Stegostoma tigrinum: one gene and its partner. The protein of the gene in region 2 purifies or fractionates together with the protein of the main gene of each other region. This does not show direct contact. Links are inferred from orthologs where the notes say so. Each region holds a gene or a part of one and is shown on either strand. Other genes may lie near its edges.

Region 1 (15,677 bases), on a different chromosome or scaffold from region 2:
GAGCCAGAATCACAGAGGTCAGACTGGATAAGGATAGCAGATTTCCAACCTTCCAGAAAGTTGATGAATCAGGTGGGTTTTTACACTGCCCCACACAATTACACTCTGTTTTGTTTCACCACCAGAGGAAGATTTCTCCATATTGGAACCTTTTAACATTTAAACACCTGATCAGATCAATCTTCTAACTCAAGGGAATACAGACTGAATGTATTTAACACCACCTCATCATTAAATTAATGCACCACCTCTGCGTTCAGTATATTGTTTCCTGAGGTGCAGTGTCAGAAATGAACAACGACACTAAACAGAGCCTTTGTCAGATACTACATAACTGGAACATCATTTGAGCAAAAGGCCAACATTCTATTAGTTGCTTTGACTGTTTTCCATGCCTGTCTAATGATTTCCAAATCTTTGATCCTCTGCTGTTCATAGTTTCTGAACATATAGAAAATTCAACTTTTTTCTACTTCTTTAGCTGTTCCTGAAGGAGGTTCAATTTCTTGAAAATGGTTGGTAAAATTCATCAAGTTTCTGTTGCTTATAAAGAAATTATATGGCACATTTTGCTGTTTCAAAATTGCTTTAATAACTATCAGAAAAAAAATTACATTTAAAAAGTACTGCAGGAATTTTTTGTTCAGAACTATTCATAAAAAGACTTTGCAACAGACTGCCTCAAAAAACATAACTCCACTGGCCTTATGCCTCTTGGCAACCTTCCATGTTCACTGTGTTCTAGCTCCATGACGCTGTGTGGAGACGGACTGCACCTGGCCTGCTGTCTGCTCCCTTTAGCTTTCAGATATCTTAACTTATTATGCATTTCCTGTGTGTTTTTTTCATCCTCACTTAACATGATGTGGTTTGATGACCAGTGTTGTACTAAATAAAAGATCGCTTATTAATTTAAATCTTAGCCTATGTTTGTGTTTGCAAGACCGCAGGAATCACTCCATGCATAAAATTGTTTCAGATATCATGTGCCAACTCCACCTCACTGAAAGAAGGCAAGGTCATCATTGGTTCAAATACCTACTAATTAGAAGGTTGTGGGTTAAAGTCCCACACAAGAGACTGAGCCTATAATCCATGCTGCCACTTCAGTGCATTACTGTGACACTTCTGCGATATGGAGAATATTTCACATTTGTAAAATGAAGCCATGGTCTGCCCTCCCAGGCAGGCACAAAGGATCCTGTGGTGCCATATCAAAGAAGAGCAAAAGCATTTTTCTCAGTGGCCTGCCCACGATTTCTCACTCAGTCGGTATCACTAAAATAAAGTTGCTGGTCATCAGCACGTTACTGCTTAAGGGATCTTACTTCACACAGATTTGGCTATGATGTTTCCTACAATATGGCATAACTACACTTCAGAGCAGTATAATCTCATTAGTAATGTTGTATTTTGGGGCATCCTGCAGTCAGGAAGGGTGATATACAAACAAAAACATTTATTTCAATTGTATCAAACTGCTTATTAGAGAGTAGGGATGTGGAATTAAGTACAGCTTTGTCAGTGAGCACCCCATGTCCCAAGAATGGTTTAACAAACGAACAATGAGATATTCCCATTCTCCAGGCTCCATTCATGAACAGCGATGAGAGCATAATCAATTCTTATTGCTCCTCCCCTTACACACCCAGGACAATCACCCAATCTCAAATGTTTATTCCCAAACTAATGGATTGACAGAAAGTTAGATCTTATGAACGGCGAACGTGTAAGCTGAAGATTTCAGAAGAGTCAGGGAACTGATTAAGTATGAGGAATGGCGCAGCAACCACAAATTTATAGACAGTGCTTTTCACAAACACAGGACTTCCAAAAGTCCCACTGCAGACAATTAAATACCTTTTATGTAATCTCTGTTGCAATACAAGAAGTATATTTATGTAGAATATTTTAATAATTTTCATTGAAATGGCCATACGTCACATAAGTCAAAACCATAAAATAAGATCAACACCAACTAATCATGAAGAATTATACTGAACACTGAAAATAAAACCATCCAGAAGGGCTAAGCTTTTTTAAATAAATACATTTTATATATAGTACATATTATATATGTGTATTACACACACATATATATACACACACTGAAATGATTCCTCTGAAGCTGACTTTCATAAGAGGACTTTGAAAATTATGTCCATCATCAATGCAGGGGTTTCAGTATCATCTTGCATAAGAAATTAATTCCCTCCTAATTCTAGACAGCAACAAGCTTCATGTTCTATATTTTACATTGTAAACCCCTTCCCCTAAACAAGTTCTTCATTATGAAATGTGAATATTTACAGTCCCAGTATGTGTAGCCAACAGTCTGGATTACCTAATCACCTATTTAGAACATTTTTGGAAAACTAGTCTAAAACATGTAGTTTTGCTTGATGTAGACCTTTATCAAAGAGGAATTGGTTAAAAAGCCATATTGATGCAAACAGGGAGATGATGATTAGGGCCGTGAGGAGCTGCAGTCAGTTGAGATTGCATGTCCGAGTACAAATGTTTGCAACCCACATGGCAACACATTGGGTGTCTTGCCATGTCAGACCTGCGGTCAAGCTTACAAGCAGGCTTGCTGGCAGCAAGTTACAATCCACAGCCCAGTTTTAACTGTTCACAGCTTGCTGCTGCTGGGCTACAGGAGCAGGGAGGCAGCTTGGAGGTCAAAGTGCCTATTCACAAAATGAAACCTATGAAATTTAATCCTGTATCACAAGTAAGAAAAATTCTTGTAAGCAACGGTGGGACTTTAAGGCAAAATTATTCGAGTCACAGTTGACTGGAACCAAATGACACTGCCATTCCCCAACAAAAAAAACTGTCAGGATGTAACCTGGCTAGGCCCATATGACTAGATTCCTTTCATCACAAACTAGTGGTTTTAATAAACCTTTGCTTCCAACACCATTATAACTTGTCTGACAGGTCCATATTCAAAAACGTTCATTTACACTATTGACCAATATTTGCACTAAACTGTACACTAATTCTTGACAGCATTATGTACTGATTGTGAACTCATGAGACACTAAATCTGTTACTGGAATATGAACCAGGTGTTAACACAACCTTAGAAACAAGCTCAGAAACCAGATCTCCTGGCTGGAATTAGAATTAAAACAGCAGCAATGGAAAAGCAGCTTCTCTAAGCCCTGCTGCTCTGCAGAGATTGCTCATTAAGAATCAGCTCACATTCTCCTCGCCTCCTCTTCTGTCAAAGGATTTTTTAAGAAGATATATAGATTTAGTATTTCTGGGTGTCATTTTATTTTAAGGCAATTTTTATTGCAGAGTACCAATTAGTGCAACAGACTCAGAGTCAGTACCGACCAAAATAGTGGTTTCAATGAGATCCTATGCTGCATCACAGCCAGTTTCACAGTACTATTATTGCCTGGCAAATTTCACTGTATCCTGGCAACAACTTCATGAGTATACCTCTTAAACAAGATGAAGTACAGTAACGGGTGCATAACCTCATTCAGATCAACAACTGGTTATTCTGAAAAATTGTCACCGGAGGCTTTGATTAAAGTGTCAGTTTTGTCTCAGTGGCAGCATTTTCACCTTGGCGTTAGAAGATAGTGGATTCTAATTCCCCCACATCCAGGCTGACCTGTCTTGTACTATCCAAAATATCTAACATCTGATAAGACCTTAAGTGCCATCTGCCTTCTTAGATGAATGCAAAATATCCACAGCAACTCTGAAAAACAGCAGAGTTCTCCCTGGTGTCTCCATCTCTTACCCTTCAACAAATATCACTAAAAATATGTTCTGAAGGAGTCATACCAAGCTTCAAATATTAATTGATTATATCTCTACAGATGCTGCCAGTCTTGAGTTTCTTCAACATTTTGTTTGAAATTATTAAAGACCTGACCACTTCCACATTATTGTTTGAGAGGTTTCTGTGTCTAAACTGGTTGCTACACTTCCCACATCATTAAGCAGTGACTATATTTCAAAACTACTTCTTGGTTGAAAAGAGCTGCATGATGATCTGAGTTTGTGAAAGGCATGGTATAATTTGGCACCAGTTGAAGAGAACCATCTGCTAAACCTCTGCCAAAGATCTGGCTGACAAGATAGCGCCAAGGAAGAAACTCTCTTCCTTCTCCTGCACTGTGTGGGTCAAAACGTGCACAAAATAAAACACGATTCACAGCAGAGCAAATTATTGAATGAATGCTGCTGTCCAGTTGTTAAAGGAAGTCACCACAACAAATAGCAACGTGACATGATCAGTTAATCTCTCCGCAATAAATAAACTCCTTCATCGACTAGAATCATTCATTGTTTCTCTCTCAGTGGATAATGCTAGATCTGTTAAGCACTTCCAGCATTTTGAGATTCTTACAGGTTTAACATCTGAAGTATGTTTCTCTCAGATTAACAATTATCCATTTAGATAACCCTCATTTGGCTCCTGCGTTGTTAGTAAGGGGGGGCGGGAATAACGGTCAGGACACGGTGTCCTGATCTTCTGAACGAGTGGACGCGGGATCTTTAACATCCCACAGCATCACTCCATTTAGCGTCCCACCGAAATGATGGCACGTCTGGCAGTGCAGCACCCCCTCAGTACAGCACCACACAGCGTTGGCCTAGATTGTGCGCTCAAGTCTCTGCGGTGGGGCTTGAACCCACCATCTTCTGACTTTAGAGGCCAAATGCCACCCACCGAAACCCAACTGACGCCTTCAAATTGGGCGGGGAATGAAGGAGGATTCAGTGAAGTGGGAAAAAATATTTTCAAATTAATGCAACGAGTCGCCGTTAAGCTGCAGGTGGTGTTTGCAACTTTAAAAAGGGAACGTTTAAAATGCAAACCCGTACCTTTTATAAAAAGGAGCGGCCGACGGTAATACTAGTATTTTAAACCGTCTTCAAATCCCACGATTACTATAATCTAAGAAAACAAATCTTGCAAAAATACACAAGCTGTTTTGGTAAAAATGTAAAAGAAACACACACAAACAAAAGGCTTCTTCACAACCCGCCACGGTGACCGAGCGCCGCCAGTGCGCAGGCGCGGGAAATTCCAACATGGCGCCCAGTGGTGGGGGTTGCTGGGAGTTGTAGTCCACGCCGGCCCTGCTTCCCGCCTTCATGGGGGCCTTCAAAACCCGCTACTCCGGGGCTAAAGAAGGGAGGGCGTCGGCCACATTCCCGTCGCATATCCTCCCCGCTCCTGCCTGGGGAGAGGGTAGCCTCCCCGCTTCGAAAGGAGCAGATTTTCGTCTTCTTTTCAGTGGCTCGGAGCGCCCGCCCATGCGCAGTGAGGCGCCGCCACCGCCGGACTACAAACCGCGCGCGGCACAAATGTACCCGGGACAGGGACCAAACATTGGATTTCGGTGAAAAAATGTGCTTCGTTTTCCCCCCAAAAGTGCAAGTTCTTCGTAGAAACACGACTGTGAACGTGCATTTAAAATCCTCTGCATAAAGTAAATACAATTCTCAGCGTTAAAACATTCCTCTATGATCCCGCATGGCGCACGCGCACTAATCAAAGCAAGTTCATGTTTTTTTAAAATGACACCCTTTTTCTCGCAAATGAAAAGAAATTGACGCGGCATTTCAAAAAAAAATAAAATCAAGTCCTTGGCGACGAGGATAACTTCGATTGAGGAAAGGAGATGCTTTTGAATGGTCAGGCCGCGGCCTAGGCCCAGGGATCGGCACAAAAAACCCCGAGACACAATAAAGCCCGAGGCCGCCCTCCCCTCACATACCACCTCCCCCCCCAACTTAAACACCATACAAACAACAACCCTTCACCTTCACCACCCCTGCGCCGCTGACCAAAAATTACAAAGGGCGAACGGACAAGAAGCAGCGGGATACCGACCCCCTTTCTTCGGTTTTGTTTTAAAGATTTTTTAAAAAAAATAAATAAAAGAGTGGAAATGCTTTACCCATGTTGCCGCTAAAGATGGTGGCGTGCCGGGGAGTCGGAACCAATCTGCGGGATGGGGCGAGTAGCCGGAGCTCGGGAGGAGGCGGACCCGGGGCTTGTGGGTGGGCGGCGGTTTGTGGGGTTGGCGGGGAGTGGGGGGAAAAGATGCTGCTGCACTCGGTCACAACCGTCCTGAGGTAAATCCACGGCGATTAAACGGGGCCTGTTGGTTTTTCAACGAAAAGAAACCTACGGCTGATTATTAACTGCTGCGCCTTGGCCCCGGCTTCAAGTGATTGTGTTACTGCTACCTATTTATTTTGACCTGATAAACTCAGGGGGAGGTTCGGCCAGAGGTGGTGACTGCAGACTGTTAGGATCACAGAAATCACCAGAAGCAATCATTTTAAACCATGGACTATTCCAGTGCTATCCTGGCTACCTCGTCTTCCACTCAGAGGTGCTGTCGTGATGCGGTGGAAGTGCGCCTATCCCGAAATTAGGAGCCCTAGGTTCAAATCCCTCCTGTTCCAGAGGTTAACACCTCTGACCAGGTTGATTATAATATGTGATAATGGGAACTGCAGATGCTGGAGAATCCGAGATAACAAGGTGTGGAACTGGATGAACGCAGCAGGCCAAGCAGCATCTCAGGAGCAGGAATGCTCACGTTTCGGGCCTAGACCCTTCATCAGAGATTATAATATGTCTTCTACTCCATCAAAATTCAAGCTCAACCATAACCCTGCTGCTCGGACCTCGCTCGGCTACATTGTTGCCTGGTCCTGCAACACTTCGATTTTGAAATTCTTATTTCTAAATCTTCCAGTGACCTTTCCCCTTGTCAATTTCTCTCACTTCCCCCAGGTCTGAGATGTCTTAGGCACCTCAAATTCTTTCCTTTTGAGTACCCCTGATTTTCATCACTCTACAGTTGGAACCTATGTTTTCAGCTGTAACCACCACTTCTGAAATTTCCTCTTTAAACCTGTCCACCTCTGTTGCCTCCTTTAACATCCTTCTGAAAAGCTATATGTTTGGCTGAGCTTTTAGTCACTTGTGTCAGTATTTCCTTTTGGAGTTTGGTGTCACATTGTGCCTGATTGATGCTCTTGTGAAGTAGCTTGGATTGTTTTACCATGTTAAATCTGTTAAAGTTGCAACTTTTGTTAGCTTCCCCATTTTAAAGTTGCATCAACATTAAGTAATTATGAAACATGCTGGTCTGGTCAGCTCAAGGGCATGGGCCTTGATACTGAAATGAAATGTGAATGTTACTATCTGGGCAAATATTTATTACATAACCCAACTGCTCTTGAGATGGCGATGCTGAGCTGCTTTCTTGAATTGCTGAAGTTGATCTGGCCTTTTTAAAACCAACTTGGAAGAAGGCACTAAGTTAGGCCAGTATCATCAAACAAAAGACACTCTTGTTCTTGGCTACTTCAATTTTCTGCCCAAAGGCAAGTTTCATTCACAAAACTCTGATCTCCACCATGGCTCCAAAAGGGTCCTGAACTCAGCTCAGTCAGAAGAGGGTTTGAATCAAATGCTGTTGGTAGAGATCTGACCCGTATCGACTGCTTGGTCAGCTGAAGCAAACAACCAAACAATCTGAGTCAACTTTGTAATGGCAGTGGTGGGTGAGATCTTCTGAAATGATGATTGCTAGTGTTTTCTGGTGTAAATCCATGTCACTGTTGTTGGCCAAATGTAGGTCTTATTTTCAGCAAGGGGATCACTAAGGATGTAAATGAAAGGCCAGTGTCTATTTCTTATGTTCTTATTTTTACCAAGCTGAATGCTAGTTTTGGATTCAGTGTGTATGATGCTGATTGTCACGAGTTTGAGACTGATTGTCAATTATTAAGACAGCCAATAGAGAAAATCTGATTTGAACAGAAGTCCCAGGGTTAAAGATAGTATTCTAATTTCAATAATTCATTTCTCATAGCTAGAACCACAGAATTGTACAGCACAGAAACAGACCATCCGGTCCAACTGGTCCATGTCGACCAGATATCTTGTATAAATCTAGTCCCATTTGGCCCATATCCATCTAAATCCTTCCTCTTCATATACACATCCAGATGCCTTTTAAATGTTGTAATTGTACCAGTTCCACCACTTCCTCTAGCAGCTCATTCCACACACGCACTATCCTCTGTGTGAAAAAAGTTGCCCGTTAGGTTCCTTTTAAATCCTTTCCCTCTCACCTTAAACCTGTGTCCTCTCGTTTTGGTCTTCCCTGGGGAAAAGACCTGGCCTACTTACTCAAACCATGCCCCTCATGATTTTATAAACCTGCATAAGGCCACCCCCTCAGCCTCTGACACTTCAGGGAAAATAGCCCCAGCCTGTTCAGCCTCCCCCGATAACTCAAACACTCCAACCCTGACATCCTTGTAAATCTTTTCTGAACCCTTTCAAGTTTCACAACAGCTTTCCTATAGCAAGGAGACCAGATTTGCATGCAATTTTTCAATAGTGGCCTAATCAATGTTGTGTACAGGCACAACATGACCTCCCAACTCCTCTACTCAATTCATTGACCAATAAAAGCAAGCGTACCAAATGCAGCCTTCACTGTCCAATCTAACTGCGACTCCACTTTCAACGAACTACAGACCTGCGTGCCAAGGTCTCTTTGTTCATCAACACGCCCCAGGACCTAACTACTAAGTGTATAAGTCTTGCCCTAATTTGCCTTTACAAAATGTGGCACCTCACATTTATTTAAATTAAACTCCTCGGCCCACTGGTCATCTGATCGAGGTTCCGTGTACTCTGAGGTAATCTTCTTGGCCATCCATTCCACCTCCAATTTGGTGTCATCTGCAAACTTACTGATCATACCTCCTGTGTTCACATCCAAATCATTTATATAAAATGACAAAAAGCAGTGGACCCAGCACCGATTCTTGTGGCCTCCAGTCTGAAAAGTAACTGTCCATTGCCACCCTCCCATCTTATGAAATAATTCACATTTTGGTGCAATGCAGCGCCTTAGACTCCAGTCATATTCAGTTTCCCTTTGAAGTGCTAATACCCTCGCGTGATTATGACAGTAGCTGTTTGATTACGCTGAGACGGGGATTGAGGTGGGGCAAGGCACATCACAAATGAACTCTTCTCCGTACGTGCCCCATCTAACATTCATACAAACATATGAATCTGGAGGAGAAGTAGGCCATTCAACTCTTCAAGTTTGCTCTGCCATTCGGTAAAATCATAGCTGATCAATTTATGTTCCAAATTCCTTGTAGAATCATAGAGTTATACACCATGGAAGCAGACCCTTCAATCCAATTCATCTGCACTGATCAGATATCCTAAACTGATCTAGTCCCATTTGCCAGCATTTGGCTCATATCCCTGTCAACCCTTTCTGTTCATGTGCTGAACTAGATTTGTTTTAAGCATGATTGTAACAGCCTCCACCACCACCTCTGGCAGCTCATTCCATCCATACACACACCCACCTCTGTGTGAAAAAGTTGCATCTTAGGTCCTTTTTAATTCTTTCACCCCTGTCATCTGCCCCCAATAACTTTGATTCCCCTGCGTAATAAGAACCTATCACCTCCACTTTAAAAATTTTCAACTATTCTGCTTCCCCCCGCTCCTGGAGCTGAATTCCACTTTATGTTCCATTGGTCAACTTTCTGTCCACTCACCTAATCTATGGTATCGACCTCCATCCTTGATATATCATCTTCACAAATAAAATCTACTTTTCTTTGTGTTACCTGCAAACTTAGCCACTGTGCCTTGAATCCCTTCATCTGTGTCAGTGATATAAATTGTAAAATGTGATCTGCCCAGCACAGACCTCCGTGGGTCCCTACTTGTGACGTGCTGCCAAACTGAAACAGATCTATTTATGCATACTCTTCATTTTTTGCCAGTTAGCCAACTATCTATCCGTGCAAATATGTTACTCCCTACACCATGAATTCCTATTTTCCATGATATCATTTTACGTGGAACCTTGTTAAATGCCTTCTGGAAATCAATGTACAATATATCAATGTACACCTCTTTATCCACAGGTCATATGACATCAAAGAACCCCAATAAGTAGATTATATACAATTTCCTTTTCACAAAGCCATGCTAACTCTTTCAGGTCATCTTGGATTTTTCCCAGTGCCCAGTTATAATGTCTTTAATGATCAATTCTAAAATTTTTCCACAACACAAGTCAAATAACTGGCCCAAAGTATCTTGTTTATGCCTCCCTCCCTTCTTAGAGTCATACAGTACAGAAACAGACCCTTTGGTCTGACCATGTTCCCAAAGCGAGCTAGTCCCACTGCCAACCCTTGGCCGATATCCCTCCAAACCTTTCCTACTCATGAGCTTATCCAAATAAGGGAACCGCGTCTCCCGCATTTCCCGCAACACAACCCTCACACCCCGCCCCCGTTCTCACACACCACCCCACCAACCTCCAGACACAACGCATCATCCTCCGACACTTCCGCCATCTACAATCCGACCCCACCACCCAAGACATTTTTCCATCCCCACCCTTGTCTGCTTTCTGGAGAGACCACTCTCTCCGTGACTCCCTTGTTCGCTCCACACTGCCCTCCAACCCCACCACACCCGGCACCTTTCCCTGCAATCGCAGGAAATGTTACACTTGCCCCCACACCTCCTCCCTCACCCCTATCCCAGGCCCCAAGATGACTTTCCATATTAAGCAGAGGTTCACCTGCACATCTGCCAATGTGGTATACTGTATCCATTGTACCCGGTGTGGCTTCCTCTACATTGGGGAAACCAAGCGGAGGCTTGGGGACCGCTTTGCAGAACACCTCCGCTCGGTTCGCAATAAACAACTGCACCTCCCAGTCGCAAACCATTTCCACTCCCCCTCTCATTCTTTAGATGACATGTCCATCATGGGCCTCCTGCAGTGCCACAATGATGCCACCCAAAGGTTGCAGGAACAGCAACTCATATTCCGCTTGGGAACCCTGCAGCCCAATGGTATCAATGTGGACTTCACCAGCTTCAAAATCTCCCCTTCCCCCACGGCATCCCAAAACCAGCCCAGTTCGTCCCCTCCCCCCACTGCACCACACAACCAACCCAGCTCTTCCCCTCCACCCACTGCATCCCGAAACCAGCCCAGCCTGTCTCTGTCTCCCTAAGCTGTTCTTCCTCTCACCCATCCCTTCCTCCCGCCGCACCTCCATCTCCTACGTACCAACCTCATCCCACCTCCTTGACCTGTCCGTCTTTCCTGGACTGACCTATCCCCTCCCTACCTCCCCACCTATACTGTCCTCTCCATCTATCCTCTTTTCTCTCCATCTTCGGTCCGCTTCCCCCTCGCTCCCTATTTATTCCAGAACCCTCACCTCATCCCCCTCTCTGATGAAGGGTCTAGGCCCGAAATGTCAGCTTTTGTGCTCCTGAGATGCTGCTTGGCCTGCTGTGTTCATCCAGCCTCACATTTTATTATCTTGGATTCTCCAGCATCTGCAGTTCCCATTATCACTTATATTTACTACTCCCCAGTCTAATGGAACCTTCCAGAATTTAATGGAGTTTGGAAAATTAATACCAACACATCTGTTATGTCATTAGTCACCTCCTTGAGGGTGTCTATGTGCATAGTTCCCTGAACGTTGCCACCCAGATAGATAGGGTTGTTAAGAAGTCGTATGGTGTGTTAGGTTTTATTGGTAGAGGGATTGAGTTTCAGAGCCATGAGGCCATGTTGCAGCTGTACAAAACTGTGGTGTGGCCACACTTGGAGTATTGTGTACAGTTCTGGTCGCTGCATTATTGGAAGGACGTGGAAGAATTGGAAAGGGTGCAGAGATTTACCAGGATGTTGCCTGGTCTGGAGGGAAGGTCTTATGAGGAAAGGCTGAGGGACTTGAAGCTGTTTTCGTTAGAGAGAAAAAGGTTAAGAGGTGACCTAATAGAGACACACAGGATGATCAGAGGATTAGATAGTGAGAGCCTTTTTCCTTGTATGGAGATGGCTAGCACGAAGGGACATAGCTTTAAATTGTGGGGTTATAGATATAGGTCAGATGTCAGAGGTAGGTTCCTTACTCAGAGTAGTAAGGGCGTGGAATGCCCTGCCTGCAACAGTAATAGACTCGCCAAGTTTAAGGGCATTTAAATGGTCATTGGATAAACATATGGATGATAATGGAATAGTGCAGGTTAGATGGGCTTCAGATTGGTTTCACAGGTCGTTGCAACATCAAGAGTCGAAGGGCCTGTACTGCGCTGTAGTGTTCCATGTTCTATGTTCAAAGATGCCATCCACCTGGATCTGGAGACTTATCAACCTGCAACTCCACCTGTTTTGGTCAATACAGTCTCCCTAATGATTATGATTTCGTGAAGTTCGTCTCTTCCTCCAACCACCTGATTTATAGTTATTACTGGGATTATTTTTGTATCCTGTTTAGTGAAGACAGAATCAAAATATTTATTCACTACATCAATCATTTCTTTATTATCCACAATTAACTCTCTATTCTTGCCCTATGGAGGACCAACACTCACTTCATTTTTTTTCATGTGCCTTTAGAAACTGCCTGTTTTTATATTTCTGGCTTTCTCTTACGCTTTAGTTTGTCCTGATTAACTGTATCATCATTCTCTGCTGTTCTTTGTATTCTGACTAATCATCTCTTTAACCTGAAATCAGCCATCTCAGACTGCACAGAAAACCGGGGATTTTCTGCCTTACTCTGTCTTTACTGGACACATTTCTGATAAATAGCAAGTTTTTAGTTGGTAAATAGTCCTCTAATCTATGACTGTCTATTCTATACAGTTTAGAGGTTTGCGGAAATAGTTTTCCTGTGGCCTGGTCCCTGTGAGGAAGGAGTTAATCTTCCAGCACTATCAGTGTTTCTGCACCTGAAGCTATCAGGTGATGCCGACGGTTGAAAAAAACAGGCTCAAGCGTGCAGATGCAATGTGAACAGCCATATGTTTTCACAGTTTGAACAAAAATATCTTGAAAATGGTAAACTAACAGTTTCATTTTTTTGACCCATTTACATAGTGAATGCTAATGTAAAGGGAGCTGTTTGGGAGAAGTTGCTGAAGGAGCTGGACTACAAAAGAGGCCCACCCACTGGCTTGCAACTGAAAGCCATGCTCACAGGAAGTGCAGGTTGGAAAATCAATGTTACTGTGTATGTCTGACCCACCAATCTTGCTTGAATGGTTTTTATAATGGGAGCATAGTTCTGAGAATTGATGTAATTACATTGTTGCCCCATCTTTAACCTGTCATCCTACAATGCCGGTTTAGCTGCTGGGAGTGAGAACAGGATTTACAGAGTCCTGCTGTATATGTAATCTCCAGTCTTTTGAGCAGGGCTTGCTCAATGGGAGGATGTGATTGCGGAATTAACTGTGCAATGTTAATACAGGCTGATTTGCTAATTTTTCGCTATCAGCTATCAAACCCGTACTCTGGTTTAATAGTGTAACCCCCTTTCTGATTTCCAATATTGATGCTATAGATTTGCTGTTTGAAAGGCAGTAATTGTCTGCATAATTGCAAACATGGAATTGTGCCAACTTTTATCCCAAGAACCTCCCTTGGACTAAATTCTCTCTGACAAGCCTCAGGCTTTGAAAACACACAAACTTGGTGTCACTAATTAGCACAATATTTTATGATTTATGACTAGCAGGCTGTAACGTGCATTTGAGTCCAAGGTCAGATCAGCAAGATTGAATGGAAGGTAGAGCAGACTTGAGAGGCTATATGTCTGTTTCAATTTGAAGGGATTGGATGGAGATTCTCAAAATTATAAAGGGAGTGGACAGAGTAGACAGGAAAAAACTGTTTGTGTTCATGGCATGACCAAGAAACAGAGTGCTGTTCTACAGGAGGATAAACCTTGTTTTATGCAGTCACTGTTTAGGACTTGGAATGTACTTTCTGTGAATATGCTGAAGGCAGATTCAATCCTGGAATTCAAAATAGAATTGGGTAATTATAAGGGGAACAAAAGAGTTACCAGCCTATAGAGTAAAGGTAGTGAAGTGGTATGTAGTCGGTTGTTCTTGCAGACAGCTGGAGCAGACATATTGGCTAAATGGCCTCCTTGTATAGTGTAACCATTCTAAAATTCAATGCAGCATGGTTTGATGTATGATACCTCCACTACTTCTCCCTGTTTTACCCTTGCAGACATCCTGTGCTATACGTTGTGGACCTTCAGTCTATTTCTTTTTTAGATTGGTAAAACTGGTAAATTTAGCAATTAGAATTTGAAGCAAACCTGTGAAAGATTAAAGAGCAGGATAATTTTCATCTCCACTGTCCCTTGACTTTGGATTTTTTTCCAAACTATTCTCACCATTCTTATTGAAGTACCTGGCAACTGTGTCTCTCCCTATCGCTGTACATCTGACACTCCCATTGTTGTTGCTTGCAGTGATAGGAATAAAGGACATAGGAACAGGAGTGGGCCATTCAGTCTGTTGATTCTGTACCACCTTTCAGTGTGTTTGTGGCTGACTGAACGCATCAATGCCTTTTACCCACCCGTCACCGTAACCCTGAATGCCACTAGTAATTAGAAATTTATCAGTCTGTACCTTAAGTATACTCAAACTGAGCTTCCATAGACCTGTGTGGTAGATAATTCCAAAGGTTCACAACCCTCAGAGGCAACACATTTCTCCTCATCTTGAACAAAAGTGACATCAACTTTAATTTTAAATTATGCCCCTGGTTATAGATTCTCAAACAGGGCAAGCATCTTAACTGCATTTACCCTGTCTATCCCTTTTAAGAATTTTGGAAGTTTCAACGAGATCACCTCTTGTTCTTTAAAGCTGTGGAGAATACAAGTTCAGTCTGCACAAGCTCTCTTTGTAGAGCAGTTACACCATCCCTGGAACAGGACTGATGAATGTTATTATACTCCCTGTACGGCAGTAATACCATTCCTGAGATAAGGAGACCAAAACTGTCTGGTACTCCAGGTGTGGTCTAACCAAACTCCTATACAATTGAAGCAAAACTTCACTACTTCTGTATTCAAAATCCTCATAAATAAAGGATAACATTCCATTGGCCTTCAGTGACTTATCAACAAGGACACTTAGATCCTTTTATACATCTGTACTTTCCAATCTGTTACCATTTTAAAAAAAATACTCTGCATGCTCAATGTGGATTACCTCACATTTCTCCAGATTGTATTACATCTGCCATGTTCATGCCTGTTCGCTAAGCCTGTCCAAATTCTCCTGCAGTGCCTTAACATTTTTCCTCCTAACACGAGTTCCCACTTAGCTTTGTATCATCCACAAATTTAGAAATATCACGTTTGGTGCCCATCTTCAAATAATTGATGTATGTTGTGAAAAGCTGGGGCTCAAATTCTGACACTGGCAGTAACTCAGTAGTCACAGTATGCCACCATGAGAGTCACCTATTTATTCCTATTTTTGGTTTTCTGTCTGTTAGCCAATCATTAGTCCATGTCAGTTCATTACCTCCCACGAGCTTTAATTTTTTTTAACTAGTGTCCTGTGGGGTCATTATCAAAAGGCTTCTGAAAACCTAATTGAACCATGTCAATCGTCTTTATCAATTCTTTTAGGCCACGTCTTCAAAAGAAAACTCCAGATAAGTTTGTCAGACATGATTGCCTAGTCATAAATACATGTTGACTATGCCTAATAAGATCATTGTCAACCAGGGGTCTATTTATCCCATGCTTTATATTAGATTTCAACATTTTCC
Region 2 (16,731 bases):
GAGCAGGAAAGCTGAAGTGTCAGACTTAGACCCTTCTTCAGAAATGAATCCAGCTCTACACCTCGTTATCTCAGATTGTCTGGCATCTGCAGTTCCTATTATCTCTTAAAATAAGTGTATATTATTACGAATGAGAAGATGTTCCTTATATCTTGAACAGCAGTCATCTTCTGTAAAACCTGCACAGCTGAGTGATGTCTTTCTATACTTACAACATGTTTAAATACATTTGTAATGCTCAACTGAGAATCATTTAAAATATAGAATAGAGAAGTTCAAAATATTTAAGATCATAAGAAATTGGAACAGGAGGAGGCTGTTCGGCTCATTGGGCCTGCACTGCCATTCAATAAGATCATGGCTGATCCAACATTCCCCTTGTTCACTTTTTTGCATTTTTCCCAGAACTCTTGATTCTGTAACTAATCAAGAATCTGTTCATCTCAGCCTTAAGTATACAAATGAATTGTACCCCACAACTCTCTTTGGCAAGGAGTTCCAAAAACTCACAAGAGAGTTAAATTCCTCCTCACCTCTATCTTAAATTGGCACCCCTATGTTTTGAGACTATGGCCTCTGGTACCACACTGTTCCCAAGAGGGGAAACATTCTCTCAGCATTTACCCTGTCTAACATGTTTCAATGAGATCACCTCTCATTCTTCTTCCAAGTAGAGTCCCAACTTGTTTTGCCTTTGCTTATAAGATAAACCCTTCATACCGGGAATCATTCTAGTGAAATTTTTCTGAACTGCCTCCAATGAAATTATATCTTTCCTCAAATAAGGGTACCAAAACTCGTCTCAGTATTCCAGATACAATCTCACCATCACCTTGTACTGTTGCAGTCAGGCTTCTCTGTTTTGTACCCCAACCTCCTTGAAATAACAGGGCTCCATTAGCCTTCCTGATTACCTGCTGCATCTTTGTCTAGTTTTCTGTATTTTGTGCACAATTACCCCCAAGCTCCTTTGTGTTGCAGCTTTCTTCAGTTGCTTCCAAGTTAAATGATATTAGTTTTTTTTGTTATCCATTCCAAAACAAACAATTCACATTTTTTCACATTATACTCCATTTGCCAACGTTTTGTCCACTTGCTCAACCTGTCAATATCTCTATGTAAATTGTTTTCTTCCCTGTTGCAACGTGCCTTTCCAGCTACTTTTTGTGTCACAATCACTTGTTATATGATGTGATATACCTTTAAGGTGATGTACCCTCAACGTCAGTTGATCATTATCGATGTTGACAGGATAATATGTGTTATGGAGAAGACTGATTCAACAGTGTTAGAAGTGAGATGGTCTATACTAAGCTCCTAGCTGTCATTATCTGTAAACATACATATCTACAAATAACAGAACTGTATTATTGTTTCATTAATCTTTCTGTTTGACTGCTAGATTTATATCTACACAATTATACAGTGATGCCAGCTGGCAATTTCTAAAGATGTTTTGTTTTTAAGTGCACTATCCCTAACATGTTACTGTATGAATTTGAATTTTTGATTCCGCAGAATAAAAGACTCAACCCCTTCATAACCATTGGAAGAAAATAGACAGGTGCAAAGGGAAACAACTTAAAAAATGTCTCACCAGGCTATAAGAGATTCTGAAGCTCTGCAGATACCATACACACATCACATATAATCCCTGTACTGAATCATGGAATCCCTGCAGTGCTGAAAGAGGCCATTTGACTCAATAAGTTTGCACTGACCTGCTAAAGGGCATCACACCCAGAGCCAGCTCCCTATCCTATCCCACTTTTACCATGGCCAATCCAGCTAACTTGTACATCTTTGGGCTGTGGGAGGAAGCCAGAGCACCCAGAGCACACAGACACAGGGAGAACAGGCAAACTCCATGCAGTCACCCAAGGCTGGAATCTGAACCCAGTTCATGGTGCTGTAAGGCAGCACTGTTAACCACTGAGCCACCAAAAGACTGCCTAAATTTGGGGAAGATTAAGTCGTCAGCTGTGAGTCTCAAGCAGGAACAGACTGAAATAGCAGATTGTGGAAGGACACTTCATTTTAAGTAAAGCTTGCTGACAGGAGAATTGATCTTAAATACTGCAAACTGAGCAAGGAAGAAGACCCTATCGGTTAACATTTCCGAACATGTAATGGAAGGTAATAAAAAAAAACCCTTTTTAGACTGATTCACAACTCTTTGAATCAGGCAACCCAATTTTAATATCAAAAAATTGTGGGTGAATTCAGTAAAGCCAAAGGAGCTCAACAGTGCCACCATGGTAGTCAAGTAATTGCCTATGACCAGCCAAGGCAGTGGCCGCTAAAGGCTCTGCAATTCAGGGCTCCTTAAGCCTAGAAAAGCTGGAAGAAATTTGAATGTCTGATGAAAGTTCCTGCAACCTGTACAAGGCAAGAAAATGACTACAAAGTCTCCATTACCCACTTGAAAGCAATGGATCTCCCGTCAGATTATGGGATAGGCAGATTCAATTGAGGCATTCAAAAGGGCAGTGGCTGATTATTTCAATATAAATAGTGTGCAAGGTTATGCAGAAAAGGCAGGTGACTGACACAAAGTTAACCTGCTCAGAGAGGGCTGCAGACACACCATGCCAATCAGCCTCCTTCTGCATTCATAACACTTGTGTGATTCTGAGTTTACTTTGTTGTGACAGAGTGGTGAACTATAGCTTTTGGATCTCAGAATTTCTTTACCAGTTAGACAAGACATTAAATTTAAAATTGCTGTAGGCAATGAAGTCCTCCACTGACTAAACGCATCAGGTCTGAATGATGACCATGTTAAGAATCCAGAAAACATCAGGTTACCACTCTGAGTACAAAAATTAGTGAAGCTCAGCTTTTGAATACACCATCTTTTAGGCAACAAGTACAAAGAGCTCTGAATAAGTAAGCAAATGTAGATTGCAACTTAATCCCATCAAAGTTAGCTGATAGTGTAACCAAGCTTCCAGTAGTATCTACATCAGGGAAAATGTCCTAAAAAGAAATCTTGGACAAACACAAATGTTATATGTGGGAAAAATAATGATAAAGTGGATACAAATATGAAGCCACAACAATGAGTAGTCGGCATCTCCAGGCTATGCATAATTCATCCAGTACTGGCACTGTAGTCAGTGAAGGAACATTTCTAAGTAATGAAAATGCTCAGCTTTGAACACTGTACGCAAGGCATGCAGCACCAGAGGACATTACAGCTTAAAGGCAAAGGCAGAACAAGTGGTTCAATGTCCTAAGCTATATCCAAAAGCCAGATAGGTACAGACCTCTCAGCAACCAAGCACACATCAATCAGCATAAAGGCAAGCTCCACCAAATGTCTCACTAAGCTGTTAGTCAGATTACGAGGATGACCAACATATAAATAAATTAAGTGAGCAACCGTTTAGTTTGATTTACATCAAAGAATGTATTAGCACAGTGGTACCAACAGAAGCTTTTGTTCCCATCCAAATGAGATGGTCAAAAATGAATGGTTGGCATAAACTACAGACAAAATGAGAGGCTGGTTGAGCTACAAACAACCTTCAACTTCGTACAATGAAATGTATATACCCACAGTAGTCGCAAGTGGCGATTTAGGCAATCAGCACCAAATTCGTGCATACAATGATTTGAAGGTTCCAGATCCAAGATCCATTACACTTAAGCCTTGGTTCAAAACCTCATCCTGATCAACCGGGTATTTTCTCCTGCAGATACTATAGCATGCTAGGTTATTACCATTTGTATTATCATCATGGCAACGATGAGGATCAAGACACTGGTAAGGCCACATTTGGAATACAGCATACAATTCTGGTCACCTTGCAATAGGAAGGATGTTGTTAAACTGGAAAGGGTACAGAAAGGACTTACAAGGATGTTACCAGGATAGGCTGGATTTATTTCCTTGGAGCAGGGAGGCTAAGAGGTGACCTTATAGAGGATTATCAAATCATGAGGGGCACAGAAAAGGTGAACAGCAAAGGTCTTTTTCGAAGGGTAGGGGAGTCCAAAATTAGAGGCCATTCGTTTAAGGTGAGCGGGGAGAGATTTAAAAAGGACCTGAGGGGCAACCTTTTCACAGAGAGGGTGGTTCGTGTATGGAATGAGCTGCCAGAGGGAATGGTATTAGTGGGTACAGTGATAACATTTAAAAAACAGGTGGGCATTTGGACAGGTACATGAACAGGAAAGGTTTGCAGAAAAATGAGCCAATTGCAGGCCAATGGGACTAGTTCAGTTTTAGAATACCTGGTCAGCCGGAACAGGTTGGGCCAAAGATTCTGTTTCCATGCTGTATGGCTCTATGATTCTACAGTCGACATTATTTAGGAGAAGGTGTCCTAATTCTGCAACACAGGTCATCAGCCAACATGCTACACAACGCTGTTTGGACCAGCATTTCTTGCCCATACTTAATTGCCCTTGAGAAGGTAGTAATCAACCAAAACATATACTCCTTGCTTTTGTTTGTTCCTTACAAATATATTGGCAAGGTGTCGAATATATTAAACATTGATCTGGGATGTAACTGGAAAGGAAACCGATTGTGCATTAAAACTAATTTTCTTGTAGTTGTTCGCAATATGAAGAATACAGTGAAATTGAAAGTGACCTAAAAAGTAAATAAGAAAACACCAAAGGCTTTGAGGTTATCTACTGTAGCCCAGATGCATAATTATGTTGACAATGGACTTGAAAATAAAATAAATATTTATAAATACATATAGTGTTAATATTGAAGTGAACAAGATGATTTCACAACGGTAGACAAAACAATATGAAATCATTCATCTCGTTGAGCAACTAATAAATTAGAACTAATGATGAACTCAAAAACTTTTCAGCTGTTCCACTTTTAGGCGATGGAATCACATTCTGAGAAATTTTAAACAGTTTTGTCCTGGAAAAATAATGACCCATGTGATCCAATTAATGCATCGTACTTTATTTTGATCGTTGCAGATGGAAATAAGCAACCAAGGCTCAAAGATCTCAAATTTTGAAACAATATGTGATAAAATGTGCCTCTGAAAGAGGTTAATGTGTAGTTTCATGTGCAGAGCGTTGTTTTATATTACCAGATAACCATGGTGTGGAAAACCAATGTCTGTTTCAGGAAATAGGGATGATCTGACATTTACAACAAGATTGCCGTTATAATTAAAAATGTTATTAACCATGTGAAATTTATTTTCAACTGACATAAGCCAACTAGGAATTTGTGATAAATATGTTTTCATTTTTTTCATTTATTCATGGAATGTGGGTGTTGCTGGCTTGCCTGCATTTAATGCCCATCCCTAGATGCCCTTGAGAAGATGGTAGTAAGCTGTCTTCTTGAGCCATTGAAGTCCACACACTGTAGGTTGAACCACAATGATTTTTAAGGAGTATTTCCAGCATTTTGATCGAGTGACAGTAAAGGAATGGTGATATGCTTCCAAGTCAGGATGGTGGAATGGAGGGGAAGTTGCAGGTGACGGTGTTCCCAATGTATTTGCTGCCCTTGGCCTTCTAGATGGAGGCCGTCATGGGTTTGGAGAGTGCTGTGTAAGAATCTTTGGTGCATTTCTACCGTGCCTCATGTAGATAGTACACATTGCTGCTGAGTGCTGGGGTGGAGGGAGAGGATGTTTGTCGATGTGGTACCAATCAAGTGGGCTGCTTTATTTGAGATGATTGTCACACTCTTGAATGTTGTTAGAGTTGCATCCATCCAGGCCAGCGGGGAGTATTCCATCATACTGCTGACTTGTGTCTTGTAGATGGTGGACAGGCTTTGGGGGATTGGAAGATGAGTTACTTGTCACAGTATTCCTAGCCTCTGACCTGCTGTTGTAGCCATTGTGTTTATGTGGCAAGTCCAGTTGAGTTTCTGGTTAATGGTAACCTCCAGGATGTTGATAGTGAGGAACTCAGTGACTGTAGCACCATTGAACGTCGACGGCTGGTGATTACATTGTCTCTTTTGCTTCTACTCATTCATGGATGAGGGCATCACTGGCTGGGTCAGCATTTATTGCCCACCACTTAAGGCCCAGAGGACAGTGAAGAGACAACTACATTGCTGTATCTCTGCGGTCAGATGTAGGCCAGAATTGGTAAGTATGGCAGAATTCCTTCATTAAAGGACATGAGTGATGGGTTTTCCCCAACATTTAGACAATCCATCTCTTTGGAAGGGTCATTGCTTGGCATTTGTATGACGTGACTGTTACTTGCCACTTGTCAGCCCACGTCTGGATATTGACCAGACTTTGTTGCATTTGAACATGGACTGCTTCAGTATCTGAGGAGTCACCAATGGTCCTGAACATTGTGCAATCATTGGCAAACATCCCCACTTCTGACCTTATGATGGAGGCATTGTCATTGGTGGAGCAGCTGAAGATGGTTGGGCCAAGGGCATTACCCTGAGGAAGTCCTGGAGCTGAAATTATTGACCTTCAACAACCACAACCATCTTTCTGTGTGCCAGGTATGACTCCAACCAGTGGAGAATTTGCCCCCTGATATCCATTGAGTCCAGTTTTGCTAGGGCACCTTGATGCTGCACCTAGTCAAGAGCAGTCTTGAGGTCAAGGGCTGTCAGTCACATCTCACCTCTGGAATCCACTCTTTTGTCCATGTTTGAACCAAGGTGGTTTTGTGGTCAGGAGCTGAGTGGCCCTGGTGGAACCCAAACTGTGCATCACAAGCAAATTATTGCAGAGCAGGTTATTGCTTAATAGCACTGTTGAACATAGAACATAGAACAGTACAGCACAGAACAGGCCCTTCAGCCCACGATGTTGTGCTGACCATTGATCCTCATGTATGCACCCTCAAATTTCTGTGACCGTATGCATGTCCAGCAGTCTCTTAAATGACCCCAATGACCTTGCTTCCACAACTGCTGCTGGCAACACATTCCATGCTCTCACAACTCTCTGCGTAAAGAACCCGCCTCTGACATCCCCTCTATACTTTCCTCCAACCAGCTTAAAACTATGACCCCTCGTGTTAGCCTTTTCTGCCCTGGGAAGTAGTCTCTGGCTATCAACTCTATCTATGCCTCTCATTATCTTGTATACCTCAATTAGGTCCCCTCTCCTCCTCTTTTTCTCCAATGAAAAAAGTCCGAGCTCAGTCAACCTCTCTTCATAAGATAAGCCCTCCAGTCCAGGCAGCATCCTGGTAAACCTCCTCTGAACCCTCTCCAAAGCATCCACATCTTTCCTAAAATAGGGCGACCAGAACTGGACGCAGTATTCCAAGTGCGGTCTAACCAAAGTTTTATAGAGCTGCAACAAGATCTCACGACTCTTAAACTCAATCCCCCTGTTAATGAAAGCCAAAACACCATATGCTTTCTTAACAACCCTGTCCACTTGGGTGGCCATTTTAAGGGATCTATGTATCTGCACACCAAGATCCCTCTGTTCCTCCACGCTGCCAAGAATCCTATCCTTAATCCTGTACTCAGCTTTCAAATTCGACCTTCCAAAATGCATCACCTCGCATTTATCCAGGTTGAACTCCATCTGCCACCTCTCGGCCCATCTCTGCATCCTGTCAATGTCCCACTGCAGCCTACAACAGCCCTCTACACTGTCAACGACACCTCCAACCTTTGTGTCGTCTGCAAACTTGCTGATCCATCCTTCAATCCCCTCATCCAAGTCATTAATAAAAATTACAAACAGTAGAGGCCCAAGGACAGAGCCCTGTGGAACACCACTCACCACTGACTTCCAGGCAGAATATTTTCCTTCTACACCACTCGCTGTCTTCTGTTGGCCAGCCAATTCTGTATCCAGACAGCTAAGTTCCCCTGTATCCCATTCCTGCTGACCTTCTGAATGAGCCTACCATGGGGAACCTTGAGGATGCCATCCACTTTTGTTGAACAGAATGCATTGAAATGTTTTGTGAAAAGATCAGTATATGTGATCATGACATAAATACACATTTCACCTACAGTTCCTTGTTAAGGCAATGGTGTAGTTCTCCAAAATAGAGGGAGTGGGAGGATACAACTGTGCAATAAGGAAAAATCATAGAAAATATGAGTTAAGATCTCAGAAATTTTTGTGGGCGGAAGTTATTTTTGTTTCAACTTTTCTGTTTCTATTGATTTGTCAGTGACAAATACGCTTAATTTCCCCATACCCAGTGCAGCTCCAGTGTGTAACTGTGGATCCAATGCACAGCAGCGGCCCCAAATTCCCAGCTCATCCATGCTTAACTGCAGCCCAGCTCCGAGCTGCTGCTCTAATTCTCAGATGTTAAAAAGATTAATTCATGGGATATTGGCTTTGCTGGCTGGGCCAGCGTTTATTGGTTACCTGTGTTTTCCCTTGAGAAGTTGGTGGTGACCTGCCTCTTGAATTGTTGCAGTCCATTTGGCGTAAGTGCTTTTTCAGAGGAAGTTTCAGTATTTAGATCAAGCCACACTGAAAGGATGGTTATATTCTTCCAAGTCAGGACGGTGAGTGGAGGGAAAATGCGGGTACTGGTATTCCCATTTATCGGTTGCTCTTATCCTTCTAGTTGGTAGTATTTATGGATTCGGAAGGTGCTGTCTAAGTGGCTTTGATGAATTTGTGCATTGCATCTTCTAGTCTGTATACATGACTGCTTCTGAGCACTGACAGTGGCAGGAATGAATGTTTTTGGAAAAAGTGCCAATCAAGTGGGTTGCTTTGTCTTGGATGGTGTCAAGCTTCTTAGTCGTGTTGGGGCAGCACTTATCCAAGCAAGTGGACAGTATTCTACCATATCCTTGACTTGTAGATGGTGTACAGGCTTTAGGGAATCAGGAAGTGGGTTCCTTGCCACAGTATTCCTTGCTTCTGACCTGCTTTCGTCACCACAATATTTATGTGCAGAGTCCAGTTGAGTTTCTGCTCAGTGGTAACCCCAAAGATTTTGATGGCAAGGAATTCAGTGAAAGTAATGTCATTGAAAGTCAAAGGGTAATGGTTAGATTCTCTCTTGTGGGATATGGTCATTGCCTCGTTCTTAGATCCACAGTCTTGTTACATCCTGTAATGAATGAAGGAGGCTTCACAAATATCCCCATCCTTAATGACTGGGAACCCAACACATCCGCACAAATGATAAGGCAGTAACCTTTGTCCAGAAGTGCTGAATGAATGATCCAGCTTGGCCTCTCCAGAAGTCTCCAGCATGGCAGATGCCAGCCTTCAGCCAGCTCATGTAAAAACTCAGTCATTAAAGATGGGGATATTTGTGAAGCCTCCGCTAAGACTTAGCTCTGATCTGTTGGTTGTGGGATTGCTGAGCTCTGTCTACCACTTGCTGCTTGGCACTTGCTGTAGACTTGTTTTGTAGCTTCACTATGTTGACACCTCATTTTTAGTCAGGCTTGGTGCTGCTCTTGGAATGTCTTTCTGCATTTTCCACTGAACCAGGGTTCATTCCCTGACTTCATGGTGATGGTAGAACAGTGAAATATGTCAGGCAATAAGGTTGCAGATTGTGTTGGAGGACAATTCTGGTGCTGCTGGTACACTATGCCACATAGATGCCCAATATTAAATTGCTAAATCTGTTCTTAGCCCGGTGACTGTATCACATAACACAATGCAGTGTATTCTTAATGTAACGACATTGCTTCTATCTTCACAAAGATGGTCATGGGCATGTCAGCTGCAGCTCAGCATGAAGGAGCTTAGCGTAGTGCTGCAGCTAGGCATGGGAACAATGCTGGGTTTTGGGGAGCTTGGAAAAGGGCTGCTGCTGCGTTACGAAGAAAGGTACATAGGATGTAGTTAGGCATTAGGCCAGACATCATCCTTGTCCAGCCGTATGCTCAGCTCCCCGATGCCCAGCTGTGGTCACAAACCCGAAGCTCAATTTCCTCATGCTGGCTGGAACTCTACATCCAACTCTTGTCATGCCCAGCTGCAGGCACAAGCCCCGCTCTCTTGTGCTGGACTGTTGCCCCATGTCTAGCTCCTCCATACCCGGCTACAACCTCATACCCAGCTGCAGCTGCCATGCTCAGCTCTCTCATGCCTAGCTGCACCCCCATGCCCAGCTGCAGCTGACATGCTCAGCTCTCTCATGAATAGCTGCACCCCCATGCCCAGCTGCAATGCCCAGCTCTCTCATGCCTAGCTGCACCCCCATGCCCAGCTCTCTCATGCCTAGCTGCACCCCATGCCCAGCTCTCTCATGCCTAGCTGAACCCCATGCCAAGCTGCAATGCTCAGCTCTCTCATGCCTAGCTGCACCCCATGCCCAGCTCTCTCATGAATAGCTGCACCCCCATGCCCAGCTGCAATGCTCAGCTCTCTCATGCCTAGCTGCACCCCATGCCCAGCTCTCTCATGCCTAGCTGAACCCCATGCCTAGCTGCACCGCTCAGGTCTCTCATGCCTAGCTGCACCGCTCAGGTCTCTCATGCCGAACTGCACCCCCATGCCTTGCTGCAATGTTCAGCTCTCTCATGCCCAACTGCACCCGCATGTCCAGGTGCAGCCCCGTGCACAGCAGCAGGGTCTTCGCGCGCCAGGTCTGCCTGTTACCCATGATGCTTCGGGGACGTCCCCATTGCGCAGCTGCGGCAGCAGCAGCGGCAAAAAATATCATAATAATCTTGGCGGATGGCCGGCGTTAAGAAATTGCGCGTTTAGGCCGCAGAGAAGCAGGCGGTGAGTCACTCTTTCTGACGGGTATTGATTAGGGAGGTTCAGTACCGTGCGGGGATAGCCTCGGGCCCGCAGCGGCCTGTGGGAGTTGGCTGGGTAGGTCGGGGCCTGCCGAGCGGGCGGCCTGACCACCAGCGCCATGTTTGCTGTTGTCGCTTCGCATAGAAGAACGGGACGGACGGCGAGATTCAAGGCGAGGCCTCTGGGCGGGCCGACCACTTATTAATTAGCACTTCATTCGCCTTATTGTGCCATCTGTCACGTCGTGATCCCCTCCCCGAGACTTTTTTTTTCCCCCGATCACAGGCAGTTCGGATGGATTTTTCGTTGTTGTGGCGAAGATTATTTATCAGAAGCTGCCCGCTGCCAGCAGAAAATAAAAGGGCAAAGAAAGAGCTCGGGGATGGGTGATTCGAGATCTGTCCCCCGCTCTTTACAGGCGCCTGTAGCGTTCCAGGCGACCAGCAGCTGTTTCCTAACATCGGTAGCTCTTTAAAAAGATACACGCACACGCTTTACTCAACAGCTTACCACAACCTAATGCAACTTACATGATACAAAAGAAGCAACACACGTGCGTTTATTCCTTTTTTGACAGTTACGTCGTGTTCTTTCACGTAGTGTATTTCCAAAATTTGAAGGCTAAGACTTTAGAATAAAAAAAAGTGGCAGATGGTCACTTCCACTGCATACAATTTCTCCTTAAAATGTCAAATGTTCACTTACATTGCATGAAACTTTATTTGATTACTGATTTGAATATTGTTGCCTTTATTTTGTAACTTTTTTTATAAAAATGTTGACCCCTGAACCAAGGTTTCAGTCTGTACACTTCACTCAAACAACTCTCTGAATTTACTGTAGTACCTCGGTTTGAGGCATTTTCATGCTTTTCTTTCTGTAAGTTGCATGCGTTTTGGAGGATTAAAATCACTCGCATTTGCTTTCGTATTACATTATTTAAACTGGCATTAACCCTAAAAAGATTTCTGAAGAAGGGTCTAGGCCCAAAACGTTAGCTTCCCTCGTCCTCTGATGCTGCTTGGCCTGCTGTATTCATCCAGTTCATCTCATATTAATCCTTAAAAGTTTTTTTTATTGCTTAAAGTTAAAAAAATTGCTAAAAGCAGGTAGCACTTTTTTTTACAAAAGGTATGTAGTGCTCCTGTATTTATGCTGAAATAAGTGCTAAGCGTTTGAGTTAGTTCTTAAGATATTTATTTTAGGACTAGGACTATAATTTCATTCATAATTTGTTCTGAACAATGTGTAGATTTATAATTTTCCAAAAGTACTATAGTTGAGAGGAGGTTACAGGTTGTGATAATCCAGTACCCGAATTGTTGACAACACGGGTTCAGGAAAATCTTCGCACTGAATCAAGAGCTGAATTTATGGTGCGATGTCAGATATTGTTTATAGTCAGTCAATTCCTTTTGATCTTACAGAAGATATAAGTTTTTGTTCTTTGGACAATAGTGTGACGAGACACTACAAAATGTACCCATATTTTGGGATAATTTTATTGAAAATTGGCCACAGTATTGATTTTTTTTTGAAGAGCATGATTACAGATGCAGTGTTTGACTGAGGTGCTTTTCAGACTTTCATTTTAAAATTCCTTCTGGGAGTTGAATGTTGCTGGAAAACTCGGTGCTTTCTTGCCATTCCTATGAAGTCACGAATGTCATTTGTGAAGCACTTCATGGTTTTCTAAGATTTTGACCCGGTGAAGTGACCGAAAATTGAAGGTGACATCTAAAGTTTTTAACAAGGTTTTGTAGCTTGGCTTGTAGTTCAGTGGTAGACTTGTGCGTCAAGCTGGTATGTTTGATTGCAGATGTTTCGTCACCTTGCTAGGCTACATTGTCAGTGCACCTCTGGTGACATCATTCCAAATCAGGATGGTGTGTGACTTGTCAGCAGTGGTGTTCTTGTGTTGAGTTGCCCCTGTTGTTGTAAATTGTGGAGACTGAGAGTTTCACAACTGTTGTTGGAGGAACTTCGGTGAGTTGTTGCTTTTTATGAATGATGTGCACTGCTGCCAATGTATGGTGGTGTTTTGAGGGATTGCATGTTTAAAGTGGCATATGTGCTGATGAAGCAGGCTTTAAAGTTTGTTGAGAAGATTTGAGCCGAACACCGTGGCTCGGTGAGCAAGTCTGCAACCTGATGAAGCAGACTGCTTTGTCCTTGTTGGTGTTGAGCTTCTTGAGTATTGTGTTAGAAAGACAAATCTATATTTAAACATTCTGAAGGAAGCTGGAAGGTATAAAATCATTTGGACCCCTTTTTTGGCTTGAATTAAATATGTTTTTTTGGGCAATTATGTTCAGCAGTATGAGGCCTAAGACCTACCTGCAAATTATGGAAGTGAAATTTTTAATGTGTGCTACAAACCACTTGCAGTTTTTCTGGAAATCAAATGGTTTTCAAGAAGCAACCAAGGTAAGGTAGGAAATTAAGAAATGAATATGGTATCGTTGGGGGAACGAAACTGGCTTTGAGGACTCGGGGACCTATACTAATAGATGCCTAACAATGTTCTGTGGTTTGAAAATTCTGATTCACAGTCCTAGCAGTCAGTGATTTGTGAAGACACCCCAGAAGTCCTGCTTTGAGAAGTCTTTGCTGATAAATGCATAGAGTTTCTAAATACTAGTATTTCTGTCTCTGTAATGAAGCCTGAGGTAGTAGACTGTAATCCCATTCTCAACAGCTCTAATCCCAGTTGATTGGAACAGACCTGGGCATTTATCAATTGACAGCTGTGTTCAAAGGAAATTCAGTGGACGTAACAAGTTATTGTATTTTATCCTTTGTTACCAGACTTTGGTCTAAGGGAGTTGTTGTTTCCCTCTTTCATCTCTGTAGACACCTACCTGTCTTTTTGTGTTGTGTGAATGTGTCTACATGTATGGCATTAAGGGGATATAGTTTTAATACCAGCTGAAAGTTTAAATGTTGGTCAGTACTTGCCACTTGCTTTATTCATTCATACTAATTGGCTGTTTTCATGATTCATTCAAGAACTAGGTAACAGTGCAGAAGTGGGGAATTGGCCATTTTGGCAAGTAATTTAACATACACACCATTAGTGTTAGTGTTTGAGTATTGCTCCTATTACAGTCATTAATGCTGAAATGGCACTCATTGAGACAATTGAGAACAACATAAGAACATGCCTGCTCTGCCTTTGAAAAGAACATGGCTGATCTTTTCGCAGACTCAGCTCCACTTGCCTGCCTGCTCACCATAACCCTTAATTCCTTTACTTTTCAAAGACATCCAAGAGAGAGTTTATCTCTTTGCTGCCTTATGGATGTTTGTTAGGCTTTGGGGAGTCAAAAAATGAGTTTCTGTCTGCAGAATTCCCAGCTTCTGATGACTCCTGTGTTTATAAAGCATGAATCATGATTAGCTGAATCAAAAATGTACTTGTATTGCAGATGAGTGGTAAAATTTGAAGCAGAAGTAGAGATGAATGACTCCTCCTTTTAAGCAACTTGTTCAGAGATGTTGTGACACACATCTGGAGCAGATGGGACTTCAAACTGGGCCTCCTGCTGTGCCGCAAGGACTGGGATAAATGACAAGAAACGAAAAAGAATCAATATCACCTATCTAAGATATTTCCACCAACCAGGATATGAATGAACTCACTTGTGTAAGCAGCTGATCTGCCAAAATTAGATGGCAGTTCTGTTTTTTAGGAAGAAAAATCGAATTTACTTTAAAATCCTCAATACAGCCTGACAGAAGGCTGACAATTAATCTGGCCCTGGTTGAATAGACAAATTTCTGTTCTTATTGTTATTAGTCAGAGTCATACAGCACAGGAATAGGCTCTTCAGTCCAACTTGTGCATGCTGACCACGTCTCAAACTAAATTAGTGCCATTTGCATGTATTTGGTCTATATCCTTCAAAACCTTTCCTATTCATGTACCCGTACAAATGTCTTCTAAATGTAACTGTACCTGCATCTACCATTCCTCTGGCAGATCATTTCACATTCAAACCACCCTCTGTGTGAAAAGGTTGCCCCTCAGATCCCTTGTAAATCTTTCTCCTTTTACCTTAAACCTATGCCTTCTAGTTTTGAACTCTTCTTTCCCCCACCATAGGGGGGAAAAAGACATTGGTATTCATCTTATCTATAACCCTCATGATTTAATAAATCTCATGTTCCAGTGGAAAAAGTCCCGTCCTATTGGGTCTCTTTTAACTCAAACTTACCTGTTCTGGTAACATCCTCGTGAATCTTTTCTTCACCCTCTCCGATTTAATATCCTTCCCCCAGCCGGGCAACCAAAATTGTACACAATACTTCTAATTTGGCTTCGTGAGATCTTGTGTAACTGCAACATGACGTCTCAGCTCTTATAGTCAATGATCTGAATAATGAAGGCAAATGTGCCAAACACCTGTTTCTTTACCACCCTGTCTACCTGTGACACAAATTCAAGGAACTCTCCCTGAACCCCTAGGCCTCTGTTTGAGAACATTCCCAGTGCTCTACAATTAACTGTGCAAGTCCTGCCCTTGTTCGTCTCACCAAAATGTAACGTGTTACATTTATTTAAATTAAACTCCATCTGCCACTCCTTGGTCTGTTAGCCCAATTGATCAAGACCCCTCTGTAATCTTAATTTTGGTGTGATTTGCAAACTTAGTAACCGTGCTTCCTAATTTCTCATGCGTATTGTTTATATGAAAGGCAAACAGTGGTGGACCCTGCACCAATCCCTATGAAACACTGCTGATCACAGGCTACCTGTCAGAAAAACAGCCCTCCACCACCACTTTTGCTGTCCTCCTGTCAAGTCAGTTTTGTTTCCAATTGGCAAATTCTCCCTGAATCCCATGTGATCTAACTTTACTAACCAGTCTACCATGCGGAACCTCATCAAAGGCCTTACTAAAGTTCATGTCAACAATATCTACCACTCTGCCTCATCTCACTTTAAAACTCAGACAAGTTTGTGAGACTTGATTTCCCACACACATGCAATGCTGACGGTCCGTAATCAGTCCTTGTCTCTCCAAATGCAAGTAAGTTCTCTCCAATAACTCACCCACCATTGACGTCAGACTCACTGGCCTAGTTTCCTAGGTTTTTCCCTTGCAGCCTTTCTTAAATAACAGCACAACATTCGCCACACTTCAGTCTTCTAGCATCTCACCCATGGCTGTAGATGATAAAAATATCTTGTCCAACATCCCACAATGTCCTGGGATACACTTGAGTAAGTCCTGGAGATTATCTCCCTTCATGCCTTTTAAGGTCTCCAGCACGTTTTTGTAATGTGGATTGTTTTCATGACATCAGTATTTATTTCCCCAAGTTCTCTAGCTTCCATGTTTTTTCCATGGTAAATAGACAAGTAATTCTAAGTCCTTTTGTGTTGTAGCTTTCTGCAATTTTTCTCTATTCAAATCCTATTCTGTTCTTTTGATCTTCCATCCAAAACATAGTAGTTCATATTTTCCCACACTATTTGCTAAGTTTTTGCCCACTTGCTAAACTGATCAGTATCTCTCTGTAAACTGTTTGTGTCCTTCCCATTGCCTATTTCAGCTATTTTTGTGTCATGTGTAAATTTGGCTGTAGTGTTGGTGGTCAAAATAGAACATTAACTGTGGTGAAAATCTCATGTTTGTGTTCAGAATTGCTCAGTGATTCATTTCAAATTAGGAAAGGCTGTTGAACTGCCTTTAAAGCTATTGTCTTCTATTGAGAAACCTAGAAATTTCAGCTTTTTCCCAAATGATTTACATATTCTGTCTTCAATTCAAATTTAAATCAATTTAAATAATTGGTGAAATTTACAAATCTTAGAATTGTCAAAATGAGATCATTGTATTAAATTTTGCCAAGATCAGTTTTCATGTGTTTCTAATATATGGTTGTTATAGAAATACATTAGACAAGTATGGTGAAACTAGTTTGCATTAACAATTTACATTGAGGTCCGAGGTCAACGTTGTATCTACTTTCAGTTTCGTATTTCCTGACCTAGAGTACATTTTGTACCAGTATCATTGCAGAATGTCTCACGGAAAGTCAAGAATAGTCAGTT

What was found.
Region 1: the proteins of zinc finger protein 280D (region 2) and cbx1b purify together in Homo sapiens (affinity purification with mass spectrometry; 4 studies listed by BioGRID and IntAct, with this or other methods). This does not show direct contact. The link is inferred for Stegostoma tigrinum from reciprocal best matches to the Homo sapiens genes ZNF280D and CBX1.

Annotation. Positions count from the first base shown.
Region 1 is NC_081384.1:3,307,931-3,323,607, forward strand, and holds the start of cbx1b (chromobox protein homolog 1b), read right to left. Parts: upstream 6,067-15,677; 5' UTR 5,944-6,066; coding exon 5,940-5,943; intron 5,017-5,939; exon of another isoform or gene 4,994-5,016; intron 4,988-4,993; exon of another isoform or gene 4,858-4,987; intron 1-4,857. UniProt on the Homo sapiens protein: Component of heterochromatin. Recognizes and binds histone H3 tails methylated at 'Lys-9', leading to epigenetic repression. Interaction with lamin B receptor (LBR) can contribute to the association of the heterochromatin with the inner nuclear membrane.
Region 2 is NC_081386.1:16,245,000-16,261,730, reverse strand, and holds the start of zinc finger protein 280D, read left to right. Parts: upstream 1-10,537; 5' UTR 10,538-10,652; intron 10,653-16,731. UniProt on the Homo sapiens protein: May function as a transcription factor.